2 linked regions of the Arabidopsis thaliana genome follow. The protein of the gene in region 1 purifies or fractionates together with the protein of each later gene. This does not show direct contact. Each region holds a gene or a part of one and is shown on either strand. Other genes may lie near its edges.

What was found. The genes of interacting proteins can lie anywhere in the genome.
Region 2: the proteins of ALB4 (region 1) and ATHSRP54A purify together in Arabidopsis thaliana (affinity purification with western blotting, with the first as the bait; one study listed by BioGRID). This does not show direct contact.

What each region holds. Positions count from the first base shown.
Region 1 is NC_003070.9:8,680,083-8,683,836, forward strand, and holds the start of ALB4 (OxaA/YidC-like membrane insertion protein), read left to right. Parts: upstream 1-2,112; 5' UTR 2,113-2,281; coding exon 2,282-2,608; intron 2,609-2,690; coding exon 2,691-2,801; intron 2,802-2,883; coding exon 2,884-2,958; intron 2,959-3,201; coding exon 3,202-3,262; intron 3,263-3,347; coding exon 3,348-3,421; intron 3,422-3,510; coding exon 3,511-3,615; intron 3,616-3,754. Other genes in the region: AT1G24485 (ER protein carbohydrate-binding protein), read left to right, coding at 1-382, 922-981, 1,244-1,397, 1,518-1,812. UniProt on the Arabidopsis thaliana protein: Required for the insertion of some light harvesting chlorophyll-binding proteins (LHCP) into the chloroplast thylakoid membrane. Plays a role in the accumulation of some cytochrome b6f components in the thylakoid membrane.
Region 2 is NC_003070.9:5,270,148-5,273,901, forward strand, and holds the start of ATHSRP54A (signal recognition particle 54 kDa subunit), read right to left. Parts: upstream 1,912-3,754; 5' UTR 1,801-1,911; coding exon 1,570-1,800; intron 1,485-1,569; coding exon 1,385-1,484; intron 1,289-1,384; coding exon 1,135-1,288; intron 440-1,134; coding exon 289-439; intron 208-288; coding exon 59-207; intron 1-58. Other genes in the region: AT1G15320 (seed dormancy control protein), read right to left, coding at 2,321-2,498, 2,660-3,188, 3,336-3,552. UniProt on the Arabidopsis thaliana protein: Component of the signal recognition particle (SRP) complex, a ribonucleoprotein complex that mediates the cotranslational targeting of secretory and membrane proteins to the endoplasmic reticulum (ER).

The DNA of each region.
Region 1 (3,754 bases):
CTTGGTTCTGACCAAAAGCGGTCTTTCAATGTTTACTATGAGGACAAGCAAGTGGGTTCAGATCTAATTGTGCCACCTTTCGGGGCAGTGACTCAAGCTTCTTTGAGGGATGTGGTGAAGACTGAGCTTGCCTATCTGACTTTTGAAGCTACACCAGACTCGACTTTGGACCCACTCATCAACGCTCTCGAGCTCTATGTCATTAGTAATAGTGGTGGAAGTGGAAACGGGACGAATTCAACAAGCACGAGCGGTGGTGGCAGCCCTAGTCCTGGTGGTGGTAGTGGCAGCCCCCCTAGCACTGGCGGTGGTAGTGGCAGCCCCCCTAGCACAGGCGGTGGTGGTGGCAGCCCAAGCAAGGGCGGTGGTGGAGGCAAATCCGGTAATTATTCTTTTCATTATCTTATATATATGTTGTAAAATACGGTTAATTTTAATAATTTTGGTTTGAGATAAATAATGAATAGAAGAGGCTACTAATTCTGACAATAATAAGAAAACGGTTTGTTTTGTAGAAAAGATATCAATCTATATATTAATATATAAATCTATATATATAAGTAACTCTACTCTAGTGGTTCTTTAAAATATATGGATACTGAATTGAAAGGGAGGAACTCGTGTGGGTATATTAATTAGGATGCAAGATTTAGCTTCTAGTTATTGACGATCAACTGCCTTTTATCAACATGCAAGATCATAACTAGGCTTAAAGGTTAGAAGAATGGGAAGTGTTTAACCAAAAACTTTCATTGTAAAACATAGCCGACTAGGAGGCGGTTTAGTCCGACTTTGAGCCGTCATTTTTCTAGATAGATTGGTCAAAAACATGCTCTCCAAATTACTAGCTCCGTAAGAAAATTGACTTAAACTGAAAACTAAAATTATAAGTCACTTTTCTTCGTTTGAACGATATTTTAGGAGGAAGCAATAATGGAGATGGAGGAACCAACAAAGCTAGTGAAGATGAAAAATCTGCAGGCATATCAGTTCTCAATATTTTTTTTAATTAAGATGTTTTTTTCCATATTAGGACTTTTAGAAGAATAGTCACTTAATATAGTTTGGGACAATTTCTAGAGATTATTTTCAAAGTTTTTGTCGTATAACAATATCATTTATATATAAAAAAAAAACATTTATGAAGCTTTGGATGTTAATAATCATGTTATTATTGTTATCAAATGATATGAGATCGTTGGTTCGAGTCTAATATGTGGTACGTTTGTGTTTGTGTATGAAGATTCTTCAGGTAAATCAGGAGAGGAGAAAAGCAGCAGCAACTTAGCTTTACCTCTTGGAATTTCATTACCGACTTTGTTAAGTCTTGGAGCTGGTGGTTGGGGCGTCTGGAAATATTTCATCAAACCTAGGCGCCACCCGGAATCAGAATGTTCGTATTCTCCTTTTATTTTTATTTTTATAAACTTATTGCAATAAATCTTATTAATTTGAATTTCTACTATAATTTTTATTTGAATTAACTAATGTATATAAATATTTATTTATGGTTGCAGTGCCACTCAAACAGAATATAAGTTTACAAGTGAATATGGGAAACGCAACAGTAGTGAATGCTGGGCAATGACGACGACTTACATCTACTACATGCGGATCCATCATCACTCATCACCCTCCAATATATGTTATTCTTTTTTTCTCCTGATTTATTGGTTGTTAGATGTAATTTATACTATTTCAGTCTTTTCATCGTATGTTTCACATATTTTTATACTTAAACAAAAATCACTAACAATCATGAAATGTTTATCTCTATGGTTTTCTCCACCAAAGTTCGGGTATAGATATTAGTGTTACTTTTCGTTGTAGAATTTAATTGGTTATAGTTGTTAACGAGTGATTTATAGGTTGTGAATGGTGACTAAAACCGTATCCAAAACCGTATCGTAACAGTGTTGTAACAATATCAAAATTTTTACATATATATATGTATTTATGTATTTTTGTTATTATTTGAACCGCACTGCACTTTTCCCGCATCGCAAAACACAGTCACCATTCGGAGCCATAGTTTATGTTGTTATATTTACCCTAGAAAAAGTCAATAAAAAAGGTGAGATATATAGTTTGTGTTGTTAGTTTTAAAAAATCAGAAAAACAAAATTTGGTTTGCTCCACTTCTCAGTTCGGTCGGTCTCGCACACTGAGACGCAAAGCAAGAACACAACAACACAACAATACTGCCAACAAAATCCAAATCTTCCCCATTTTGTCTTCTCAACCAAAACCCTAAAACTCTCCTTCCTTCTTCTCCCTAGAGATGTCTTCAACAATATCCCTAAAGCCGACGCACCTTATCCTCTCCTCTTTCTCCACAGGCAAAGTCCTCCAATTCCGCCGCTCCCGTTTCAGCCACACACCGTCGTCGTCGTCGTCTCGTTATCGGACTCTCGTAGCTCAACTCGGGTTCAGACCAGATTCTTTTGATTTCATCAAGGACCATGCCGAGAATCTGCTGTACACGATCGCTGATGCCGCCGTTTCGTCCTCTGAAACCTTTGAATCTGTCGCCGGCACTACTACCAAAACGACCCAGAGCAATGATTGGTTCTCTGGTATTGCTAATTACATGGAAACTATTCTCAAGGTATTAAAAGTTTTGTCTTTTTTGGTTTAGAAAGAAATGAATTTTTGTGTAGCTATATGATTGATTTTGAATTGGATTGCAGGTTTTGAAAGATGGGTTATCAACTGTACATGTTCCTTATTCCTATGGTTTCGCTATCATTCTATTGACTGTGCTTGTTAAGGCTGCTACGTTCCCATTGACGAAAAAACAGGTTTTTAGTTTGTTTCTATTGCTGCTAAGCCATGATATCATTTTTAGTCCATGTTATTGAATTGGTGGTTTATTCTCTACAGGTTGAATCTGCCATGGCTATGAAATCTTTGACGCCTCAAATAAAGGCTATTCAGGAACGGTATGCTGGTGATCAGGTGAAAAACAATTCTTCTATACTGTACACATGGGTTTTATTTGTCCTGATGCTATACTAAGTTATGTTTGCATCAATTCTTAGTTGATGGAGTTAAGGAAAAAGTAAGAACATGTGTGTTGCTATTGGTTCCACAATTGTGGAGGGATACTAATGAATATAACAAATATTATAGCTTTACTATGTATGAATATAGCCCTCTTGTTTAAACAAATAGCTTCTTTATTTTTGTTTATCTTTGCAGGAGAAAATTCAGCTTGAAACTGCTAGATTGTATAAGCTTGCTGGAATAAATCCCCTTGCAGGTACAGTATGTTACTTCAGCTTATCGTATGTTTTTCCATTTGAGACAACATTTATGGTTAAGCTATATTTTCATTTATCTGTTAGGCTGCCTCCCCACACTAGCCACGATACCTGTCTGGATTGGGCTATATAGAGCCCTCTCAAATGTTGCAGATGAGGTACCTGGAAATAACTATATCCTTTTGTATCTGTAAGTGCCTTGAGATTCTTTTTTGACAAGTAGTTGGATGCTTGTTTCTAACTTTAGGGGCTCTTAACGGAAGGTTTTTTCTGGATACCTTCTCTTGCTGGTCCAACGACTGTTGCTGCAAGACAGAATGGCAGTGGAATCTCATGGCTGTTCCCTTTCATTGTAAGTATCATTTGAAACTTGATATTTCGAAAATGGAATCTAGACTAGACTCATAGTTCTTACGAACTCTTATTCAGTTTAATTGTTCAAGCATATAAAACTGATTAAAATGAATTATTGAAGAAAACTTGAGGGGAGT
Region 2 (3,754 bases), 3.4 Mb from region 1:
ATTTTCATATTAACCATTTCGAGTACACATGAAGACTCAGTAGCTACAAGATACTTACGCGCTAAGAGCACCACCTCCCTTGGCATGGCCGTCCATCTTAGTAATAATTACAGCTCCAACAGATACAGTTTCCTTAAAAGCTTCAGCTTGTTCAAATGCAGCTTGACCAATACTGCTATCCATAACAAATATAACAAGATCTGGTTCCTGAACAGTGAAAATTACCATGATCAGAGCCTGCAACATCAACCATGAACAAAAAACAGACTTCAAGACAACAGAGCATACCGTTGCTTCAGCAACTTGACGCATTTCTTCAAAGAGAGAAGCTGCTTGTTTATGGCGACCACTGGTGTCAACAATAATAAGATCACACTTTTCTTTCTTGAACCTATCAACTCCCTCAACAGCAATTTTCACAGGATCGGATTCTGTGTAGCTGCAACGAATCACAAATTAGCATTTTTCCTGTCAGCATTAGCACATTATGCTATCACACTACGCTCGAGAGGATAGTTCTAATCCAGTATATCTTCTTTTTTTTTTCATTTCCCTCTGTTACTGTCATTGAAGTAAATCCAAAACTACAAATAGCGTAGTCGCAGTAATTGCAAATAGAAACAGAAGATAACACAAGACCTCAAAAAATCGATATATGCAAACTGTTGAGATCTTTGACGAACAAGTGAGACCCTTTGATAGAGTTTTCCAAGGTCCAAAACAAAAAACGCAAGAAAAAAACAGGCAAAAGGGCTTAAAGAAACTCTAAAGGGTAAGTGGCACACAGAGAACTGGATAAGTATGATGAAACCTACTGGATGATCGATAAAGAAACATAGTAGGTAACCATATTCCTTTTCATTGCAGATTTTTGCAGGCTACTGACCTAAAATAAACGTCGAGTCTAAACCAAACAATTTCATAAACTTTGTACATTGACCTCTACCAACCACAAAATACCATAGTTTTTACACAGATACTGCTGTATGTAAGCTAATATCCATTGGAAATGAAAAACACCAAAGGTCTTACGAGAAAGCAAGAAGAAAGATGAATACTAAGATATAAATCCTCATACAAAGTGGATAGACAAGAATAAGATCTCACAGCATGCAAAGGGGTTGATTTGAGTACCTTCCATAAAAGGGGATCTTAGCCTTGGTGGCATTCTGTTTCAGCTGATCAAAAGCACCGGCCCTGAAAGTATCCGCACACACTAGAGCTGCTTTGTACCCTTTCTTCTGATGATAGTAAGCATACTTGGTACATGTTGTGGTTTTTCCAGCACCTAAACATAGTCAAAAACTCAAATGTGATCTATCTACTCACCAAACTCAATCAAACACTGTGCAAAAAACAGTATAGCATCTTACAGAAACCTGACCTTGTAAACCGACGAACATCACTACACTAGGTTTGGCCTTTTTGGGGGCAAAGGCAGGCTTTCCTGGATCCAGCATCCTACAGAGTTCCTTGAAGATAGCCTGAAAGAGAATCATGATCAATTATACAGAATTAACCCCTCTGTTTTGGAAATTGATTAGGAATGAATCTGCGGTAAAACTAAACCTGCTCGATGATCAGGCGTTTGTTGTGGCCAGCTGCTAGATCGTCGAGGTTAACGATCTTCTTAATATTGGTCTGCATCTTTTCCACAAGGCCAAAAGAAACATCGGACTGGAGCAAAGCGCGAGTAATCTCGTTTAAGAAATCATTCAAAACCTTTTCATCGATTATTGTCACATTGTTCATCTGCTGTATGGCGCGGGTTATCCGGCCGCCGAGCTCCGCCAACACCATTTTTTTTTATCTGCTGTGCGATTCAACAAACATCAAGGAATTAGGGCTCAATTCTTTTTATCAAAGATCTTTTGTGGGAGATTGACATGATTCAGGCGGGAGAGAACATGTGGCATTAATCGGAGGTTACGAGTTGGAGCACGTCAACTTAAATGGACCTAAAGGTGTAAAACAGGCCCAATGGGTCACATGTTAATAGTTCTCTAACGTTTTTGGAAATATATGAAACTCTACATATTCTTTCATATACAACTGATGATGACCCAAATTTGCATGTTAAGTGTTAAGAAGAGCCTGAAAAACTTGTATACAAGAATTGGTTTTATCATTGTCAATATCTTTGTTATGACTTACAACGTACGTACAATAGCAATGAATCCAGAGGACGGTGATAGCTAAACATGTACATCCTAAACATGTATGGGTTGATGAAGAGGCATTAGTTCCAAGCAGGCAGATCCCACATCACAGCATTTAGTTTTACTATGAAACTGGGACTTGCTTTGCTTCTACAAAGCTCTCAACTAGATGATCCTGATCCCTTCAGAGGTGAAGGAACTGCTGGGTAAATCTTTCTTAGCTTCTTCTGCTCTCCAAACTGGTGTATGGCGTCTTGAATCCCTGCAAATGCGACCACAAACTCGGCTGTATCCGTTTGATTCAGCAGCTTCTTCATCACCAGCTCCAACACTTTATACCTGCCAATCATAACAACTTTCTCTCATAATGCTGATCAAAGCTTTCACTTCACTCAACAAAACTAAGACATCATTAACCACACACACTATCTGGTGTCAGCTATTTGTTTCTGTTCATTCTCAACAATTCTCTTTTATTTATGATGGGGAGGAAAGCAAACCTGAGTCGTTGTGCCTTTGAGATGACTTTATGTATGTTCCCAAACAGCTCCTGCACAGAACGCAGAGCTTCTTCATGCAACCGAGTATTGCAGAGCGGGGAAAAAGGGAGGTACAAGACACCGGTGGCCTGAATTTCTGCATATTCCTCATCAATAACGGCCTCTTCGATGCGTATCTCACGTAAAAGCTGAGAGAGCACGCGTAAACTCGACTCAGACAGAGAGAAGGAGGGGTTTTGAGCTGCCAGAATGCGGACAAGGTCAAGAATGGAGGTGGGACGCCAGTCTCCAAGCCAGGCCACAGCAGCTAGCTCATGAGGTGGTATCCACGTGGGTAAGACGAGGTTAGAGACATCCTTTAAGAAAGTTGAAACCATGGAATTGTCGTAATGGGACTGGTATCTGCTCAGCTGTTCTTCAATCAGTTCATCGAGTTCCCACCTGGATTTTAGCTCTTTGTCTAGCCTTGCCGCAATGCTGTTCTGTTCTTGCCTCCACAGTTCGTACAAGTCTCCAGAAAGTTCGTCACCTGATCAATCACAGATATTATGCTTTGTAACATCACTCACATCATCAAGATGACAAAACAGATAACATTGCCATAGATTAAGCAAAAGTTTCACCATCTACAATAACTCGAAAACATTACTTTAAGAAATAATCTTTTTGCAGATACCTTTTGTAAAAGATTCGTGTTGGTGAGATCTCTCAGCATGAGATCTTTTAGATGATATATTACTAGCAGCTTCTCTCTCCAGATCATCCCAGGAAAGTTCTTCCCCATTGTTTGGTTCTTCAAATCCATTCTCTTCACTACGTTGCAGGAAGACAAACCCAATTAACCATAAGAAAACTAAGCTGATTTTCACAAGAACCAACTCTTGTAATCTCATTGCACACTCAAATCCTAAAATGCATCCCTATCCATTATGAAAATCATCAAAAAGAGGTAATGTTTTGCATCAATTCACATCCGCAATCTCAGAAAGAAACCGAACTACTAATCAAGCGTAACTGAGGAAGGATTAATCCGAAGTTCTCCTTATAATAAATGGAAAAGAAAACTCTAAATCCAAGATATCGAATCATAGAACA